2 linked regions of the Oryzias latipes genome follow. Each later gene encodes a partner of the first gene's protein in a complex. Links are inferred from orthologs where the notes say so. Each region holds a gene or a part of one and is shown on either strand. Other genes may lie near its edges.

The links. Proteins that work in one complex are often made in the same cells at the same time.
Region 2: the proteins of E3 ubiquitin-protein ligase Itchy (region 1) and txnip are in contact, whole or in part, in a crystal structure (PDB 5CQ2), measured with the Homo sapiens proteins. The link is inferred for Oryzias latipes from reciprocal best matches to the Homo sapiens genes ITCH and TXNIP. Residues at the interface, in NP_001244066.1 of Homo sapiens: Glu485, Arg487, Thr489, Tyr495, Val497, Asp498, His499, Arg502, Thr503, Thr504, Thr505, Tyr506, Leu516; in NP_006463.3 of Homo sapiens: Pro328, Glu329, Ala330, Pro331, Pro332, Cys333, Tyr334, Val337, Ile338.

The regions. Positions count from the first base shown.
Region 1 is NC_019865.2:2,020,175-2,023,674, reverse strand, and holds part of E3 ubiquitin-protein ligase Itchy, read left to right. Parts: coding exon 1-69; intron 70-2,005; coding exon 2,006-2,075; intron 2,076-2,514; coding exon 2,515-2,599; intron 2,600-2,674; coding exon 2,675-2,803; intron 2,804-3,500. UniProt on the Homo sapiens protein: Acts as an Acts as an E3 ubiquitin-protein ligase which accepts ubiquitin from an E2 ubiquitin-conjugating enzyme in the form of a thioester and then directly transfers the ubiquitin to targeted substrates.
Region 2 is NC_019869.2:21,668,936-21,673,041, forward strand, and holds the start of txnip (thioredoxin-interacting protein), read left to right. Parts: upstream 1-1,306; 5' UTR 1,307-1,424; coding exon 1,425-1,680; intron 1,681-2,076; coding exon 2,077-2,152; intron 2,153-2,230; coding exon 2,231-2,378; intron 2,379-2,461; coding exon 2,462-2,821; intron 2,822-2,917; coding exon 2,918-3,223; intron 3,224-3,307; coding exon 3,308-3,358; 3' UTR 3,359-4,106. UniProt on the Homo sapiens protein: May act as an oxidative stress mediator by inhibiting thioredoxin activity or by limiting its bioavailability.

The DNA.
Region 1 (3,500 bases):
CAGTGGCAGCACCAGCGCAGCCAGCTGCAGGGCGCCATGCAGCAGTTCAACCAAAGGTTCATCTACGGGGTAAGACGCCGTGTGTCAGCGGGTCAAAGGAAAGCCACTGACTGTGGTGTGCGTACACGTTATTTTTTATAAACAGTATGCAGGATATTTTGTCTTAAAAGGAGAATAACATATTTTGTGTAGACAATGGGATGGTGCATAAACCTTTTTTCTTATATGAACTCGACAAGTGGAAAAAAAAGTCTTTGTCCAATGCCAAAAACTAAATTCTGTCTGGACATTTGACACGCGATAAACCCCGGTTCTTGAACACGTTCTCATGGTGTTCACACTGGACAAGCAGGGAGGGGCTACTTCTTTTTCTACTGTTTACTGCAATCTACATTTGGAATTTACCCTTTATTTTACCAGGAAGTCTCATTGAGATCAATTCTCTTTTTCGAGGGAAACCTGGAAGAGCCTTGGTGCGAAATGTTAAAGCGGGGAAAATCTGGCAAATCTTACTCTTTAGGCTTTTTCTTACACTCTTTCCAGTATACACACTATTACCAACAGCATTGGCTCACCCATCCAGATGATCACAATCAGGTCCTGAGACTTGACCTGGCCACAGGTGTATGAAATTAATCAGGCATGCAGGCTGTTTTTACAAACGTTTTTGAAAGAATGGGCCGCTCTCAGGAGCTCAGTGAATTCCAGCGTGGAACTGTCATAGGACGCCACCTGTGCAACAAATCTGATACTGATGTTTCTTGGCTCCTAAATATTCCAGTCAACTGTCAGCTCTAACAGAACAACATGGAAGAGTTTGGGAACAACAGCAACTCAGCCACCAAGTGGTCGACCTCGTAAACTGATGGAGAGGGGTCAGCGGATGCTGAAGCGCGTAGTGCAAAGAGGTCGCTGACCTTCTGCACAGCCAATTTGTACAGAGCTTCAAAATTCATGTGACCTTCAGATTAGTCCAAGTACAGTATGCAGAGAGCTTCATGGAATGGGTTTCCACGGCCGAGCGGCTGCAACCGAGCCACATAATTTGGTGGAGGAGGAATCATGGTGTGGGGGTTGTTGTTCAGGACTTGTGCTTGTCCCGTTAGTTCCAGTGAAAGGACCTCTGAATGCTTCAGGATACCAAAACATTTTGGACAGCTCCATGCTCCCAAGCTTAAGGGAACAGTTTGAAGCGGCCCCTTCCTCTTCCAACATGACTGTGCTCCAGTGCACAAAGCAAGGTCCATGAAGACATGGATGACAGAGTCTACTGTGGATGAACTGGACTGGCCTGCACAGAGTCCTGACCTGAACCCGACAGAACACCTCTGTCAGTCAGAGTCAACTATTATTGTAATATTGGGCTACATAAAAAAAATAAGTTGAATTCAATTGATGGCTGCAAAAGGTGGATCCACATCATATTGAACTCTATGGGTTAAGAATGGGATGGTTTCAGTTCATATTTGAGTCAAGGCAGGTAGGTGAGCCAATGCTTTTGGTTACATAGTGTATGAAAGACCCTGTTTTATTTATTTCCAGCCGGGCACAAACCGTAATTACGATCTCCTTCATGATCAGTTTTCAAACGGTTGGCACTTTCGTGAATTACAAGGGGTGCCATCCATTCATCACTACCGTACGACAGAATCACCTGTATGTCATAAGTGCGTGCAATGTCCATTAGCCTAACAAGTGCTTCACAATTCACAATGGTACGTTCCATTTTCATGACGTTCCTTGAGGTGGCCGTACGAGCCTTAAGGGAACCGCTTCCCTTAAGACTGCTCCTCTCTAGGACCCTCCATGGACCGGACAATCCAAAAACCTGCAGCAGCCATACGGGTCAATCCCCCATACGTGTGGCTAAAAGCTTTAATCATTTAGTGTTGCAATTTATTTTTGACTCAAAGTCGATCAAGACCAAATTGTTCTGGTTCTCTTTGGGTTCTAATCCGTGATGTTTGTTATGGAACTTGATTATTGATAATAATTCTCTGTGCAGGTACAAGATCCGGCAGCAGCCGCTCAAAATAAGGAGTTTGATCCTCTTGGACCTCTACCAGCTGGATGGGGTGAGACTTTTTCGAGTTTCAAAACCAGGACAATTATATGGAGCAGTTTTTATGTTACTCTTTGCTACAAGTTTGGTTCCTCTTGAATTTGTTTAGTGTAAACTAGTTTCGGTTTGTTTTATAGCAGCATCCTAATTGAACCTTAATAAACCATATACTCTGTATTTAAATGTTTTTTTGGGATTTTTCCTTTACATTAAAGTCAAATGAATGCAGTTTGATGTAGTTTAAATATCCTGCCAGCTAATGAAATTGCATCTACAGTGGATTTCCTGCAGTTTTGAAAAAATGAAAATCGAAATACTATTGATTTGACTCTTAGCAAGCAAAAACGCAATGTGGGTTTTTTTTTTTTAAACCGCTAATGACTTTAAACCTCATCCTGCAAACCCATCAACCTGTCAACCATAGTTAAGTCACTGACTGGCTTTCCTTTCAGAGAAGAGAACAGACGCCAATGGCAGAGTCTATTTTTTGCATCATCCTACCCGTTCTACTCAGTGGGAAGACCCTCGAACACAGGGGTAGGCATGTGCTCACAGATTCCCCCGCCGCCTCCTGAAAAGGACGAAAGTTGATGTTCTGATGTCACTTCTCAGGTTGTTGAATGAAAAGCCTCTTCCTGAAGGATGGGAGATGAGGTTCACTGTTGATGGCATTCCTTACTTTGTGGACCACAACAGGAGAAGCACCACCTACATCGACCCTCGCACTGGAAAATCCTCCCTGTACGTCTGACCGCTTTTAAAGACGTAGATGTTCTTTTAAAGCACAGTTAAGCTCAGTCTTTGGTACCAACGTACACAGAAATTCCAAACCTACAAATGCATGTTTGTTTGGGGAACATTGTACGCAAATCATCTTGACGCATTCCCCGTTTAATCTGAGAGTTCGGCAAATCACGGGCAGAGTAAAAGAAAAATGAACTCATCCTAAAACTGGATTAAAATGTCATTTCTTAACCGTAGCTCCTCCTCCTCTCTCATTTTTGATGTACCATCAGTAGCAGCGTTTTCAGATCATCAATCTGCAGGCAATGTCACAATCCTGAGTAGTAATCTTATTGAAATGCATTTGCACAAAACATGAAGAAGAGGATTTTTTTTTTTTAACCTAAAGAGGTTTGGGTTTCCAGCTAATGTGGCGTTCACTCAAATGGACGTGTTTTATCTGCGGGCGTGGTTCACCAGACCGCAGAAGTCATGCACCAGTTTCCTGCAGTGAAAAAGAAAACCTGTTTGTTTCTGATATGCGATCATCTGAACCACGAGGCCGCGGCTTTTCCAGCTGATAAAACCTAGACGCGTTCGCCTCTTTGCAGACGTGATCGCGTCTTAAAAACCTGAAATCCGTTCCTGCATGAATGACTTCCAGATTATAGCTGAAATTCAAGATTACTCGATTTTTCATAAAATTCTTACATCT
Region 2 (4,106 bases), on another chromosome or scaffold:
CACACTGCTCCTGGTGGTTACAGGTTGGCGCCATTGTGTGTGCATGGGTGAATGTGAATAAAGCACTATGGGCCTTAAGGGAAGGTAGAAAAGCACTATATAAGTATTTACCAGGAATGCAAAGATTCACTTTCTCCATGACTTGGTTCAATTTTTGGGTCACGTTTTTGTTTCCATTTCATATTTATTTTGAGTATTACAAAACAACAATAAAGCTAAAAAATATCTGAAAATCCCTCTTTTAAATTAGCTAATTAGCAAGAAAGAATGAAGAAAAATCTTTCAGTTGGCTTATACCAAAAACCATAAATACCATAAATAACACATCCTTCTAAAAGATAATGGCATGCTGTAGGGAAGCAAAGATGGCCGGAAAAGGGTCTGGCAGCTCCGTGACCCTGAAGTGGATTTTAGAAGAGGAATGAATGAATGAATGAATGAATGAATGAATGAATGAATGAATGAATGAATGAATGTGGCATCCCTACCAATTACTGAGGACTCTAGAAGTATCAAGAATCACTGTAATGTTAACTTCATGAATTGTTTACAGTGAAACTCTGGCGTTTATTTTGTAAGCAATATTTGACCTAACATGCGTGACGTTAAAAGGATAAAATGTTAACATTATATAAGTTGAAAAAATGTCACCCTAAATTAACCTCAAATACTTTTATTTTACATTTTGATGTCTTTTTGTATTGTTGGAATTGTCTTTTTGAACAATAGGGAAAAAAATACAAGCGAAAAAAAATACAAGCAGACAGTATAAAAACCCACAACAAAAAAATCTATATCACTTTTAAAAAGTGTAGCCTACACTGTGGCCCTTCAGCAGCAAACAGACATTTTAAAGTATTTAATGCTTTGGGAAAATATTAATGAGTTGATCCTCACAATTGTTTTATGGATCTGTCTGTTCATAAGACAATAAACGTCGTGTAAACTTGACCATTAACTGCTTGATATAGTGTTTTCAGGTTTTTCTTTATCTGTTATCATCCAGTTTCAGCATATCAGGACACAAAATTAACTGTAAACTGATTTTATATCATAGCACTGATAATATTCATTTGTAACGCAGCTGAATAACTGACCTAAGAGGGAAACGCCTGTACTTCCCAGGTTTCTGGTGTTTACTATAAACGCTGAGTTTTCGTCTCTCATCTCCTGAGCACGCGCTGCACTCTCGTATGCATGCGCTGTCCACGCGCTGACTCTGCGCTCTGATTGGCTAAAGCCGAGACAAACCTAGAGTTTCCGCCAATAGGAGCGCTGTGCATGCGCTGAGCCACACCGCGGAGGCGGTTCATCACGCGGGGCTCACGGAAAGAAAGAAAAATACAGCCGCCTCTGTTGTTTACAGCCTCAGACGACGAAAGCTTCAGTCGCACGAGCAAGCATTGTTCACAGCCTCAGCAGCCATGGTAGCCATGACGAAGAGACTGAAAACTTTTCAGATAGTCTTATCGGACCCGAGCAAGACTTTTTACTGCGGCGGGGAGAAGGTGTGCGGCCGCGTGGAGGTGGAGGTGAACGAGTTGACGCGGGTGTCTGCGGTGAAAGTCGTGGCTCTGGGCTGTGCCAAGGTGGAGTACGCTAAGGGGAAGCAGCGATGCCGACAGGAGGCCGAGTACCTGAGGCACGAGGAGGTCCTGAGCCTGCACGACCAGCCCAAAGGTAAGCCTCGTGCGCACTGGAACTGTTGGAAGTGCTGGAATTATTTTTGTCCTAGCTAAATAACACAATTACACGTTAAAAATATTAAGTAGTTAAATTATTTTTTCTTCCACTTTATAAATCTAAAGCTGTTTTTGTGGTTAAAGTGAGCTGCTTCTTTTTTTTTTAACTCTAGTCTATTTTAAAGTGAGTTTAATAAATTTGGATTCATGGGTGAAATATGACGCAGTGAGAATTTACAGGGGTTCATCAGTGAGGCAGGAATCAGAAACATCCGTGCTTGAACTTTGTCCCAGTTGGCTCTGTTTACATCATGTCCCACCTTCATTTTCATTTCCCACAGAGTTGCCCCCCCCCCCCCCCCCCTTACTCATGGTTTTTCTCCCCCCTCCCCAGATGCAGATGGCTCTGTCGTGCTGAGGCCTGGGAATAAATATGAGTACACTTTTGGATTCGACCTCCCCGACCAAGGGTAAGCCCCCTTTTTTTTAGTTCCTCATTCAGTCATGAAATGATTTGTGGTTCTAATCCTGTTTGTGTTTGCTCATAGGCAGCTGGTATCCTCTTACAAGGGGAAGTTTGGCTATGTTCAGTACTATGTGAAGGCTAAATTGGAGAGGCCGCTGCAGCCCACGCTTGAGTGCAAGAAATGCTTCGAGGTGGAGGAACCTCTGGATGTCAACACCCCAGATTTACTTGTGAGTAATCAGAACATCCATGGGTGTAGATGTTGGGATTCGCCGCCGTGCTAACCTTCTTTTTACCTCTTTTTGCTCTTCAGTCTCCCACAGGTGGCTCCAAGGAAAAGAAAGTAACCTGCATGTTCATTCCCGACGGCCAAGTGTCACTAAACGCCAAAATCGACAGGCGTGGTTTCTGTGAAGGCGAGGACATCTGCATCAACGCCAAGTTCGAGAACACCTGCTCACGCATCGTGGTTCCCAAAGCTGCCATCATTGCCAAACACACATATCAGGCCAACGGCCGCACCAAGGTCTTCAGGCAGAAGCTGTCATCAGTGCGTGGAAACCACATCATCTCTGGCATGTGTGACGCCTGGCAGGGGAAGACCATCAGGGTACCAAAGATCAAGCCATCCATGCTGAGCTGTAACATCATCCGTGTGGAGTATGCACTAATGGTGAGCCACCGATGGTGAAGTGTGCATGCCTGCGGAGCACCTGTGGCTCCTCCTGAGATAAACACGTGTTGATGGTCTGTTGTTTTCTTCTTCCAGATTTACGTCCACATTCCCGGCAGTGAGAAAGTGATCCTGGAGCTGCCTCTGGTCATCGGGACAGCCGGTCTCGGCAGCCGCAGCAACAGTGTGAGCAGCCAGGAGGGCTCCGTAAGCAACGCCTCCCAGAGCTGGGTGTCCCTGCAGATGCCCTCCAATCCCCCCAGCTACTCTGACATGACGCGGGACGTTCGGCTCGACCAGCCCCTCACGCCGCTGCTGTGTGACTGCGACGACATAGATGGCAGCCCCATTTTCATGAGGTCGCCCAGCTTCCAGTTCCCATCACCGCCTGTGTTTGCCGAGGTAAGGCGATCAACAGGGTTCTGCGCATTTCTGGCAGCTGCTGGGACGGTTCTGAAAGTTCTGGTTTTGCTTCGTGTTTTGCAGACCGAAGAAGAGTACAACGGAAACAACGTTTGCATGCTGCCAGTCTGCTGAATGCTGCAGCTGCGGGTCCAGTTCTCCAAGACCAATCATTGAATGCACTTCAACAAGAAGCTGGAGGTCCAAACTGGAGAGAACCTGCGATGATGATGTTTCTGCATATGCCTGTGCTTCATCCAGAGTTTCCCCCTGGTGTTCGGTTGGTCCTGAAGGTCTCCGTCTGCTGTTCCTCCCGTCTAAAGGCTCCATGGAGTAACCGGAGTCCGTTGGTGTTGCTGCTTCCTGTCGAACACTTTTTTTTTTTTACTCTTTGAGAAGGAGCCGTGTGTGAGTCAGGCTGTGACTCCTGGCTGGTTTGTTCATTCCAGTTATATCCAGTTTCTTCCAAAGAGGAGCTGTGGCTCTCAGCAGGCTCATCAGTTTGTTGGGAACAAACGTTTAGGATGATAAAGGAGCCTCCTTATTTCCACAGAGCATTATCTCAGCATGTTGTGTATGACTCCTTTTTCTTTTTTTTTTTGAATCGCACTTTTTAAAGTTATGCTCTGTTACTGCAAACAAACGTTTTTGGCTGTGTGTTACAAATGTAAAAAAATGTTTTTTTAATTTAAAAAGAAAAAAAGAGAAATCCCAAATTTGATTATATTCTGACTTTAATTCTTTTCAGCAGGTGTGATGCTGAAGCACCTTACAGAACTGCTGTATCTGTTCTGCAGTTGTCTCAGACAACATTTCAGTCAAATCTGCCCTCTTTCTTCACTTTAAAAGTTTGAAAAGTGTTTTAAGACTGAGTTGTAAGAAA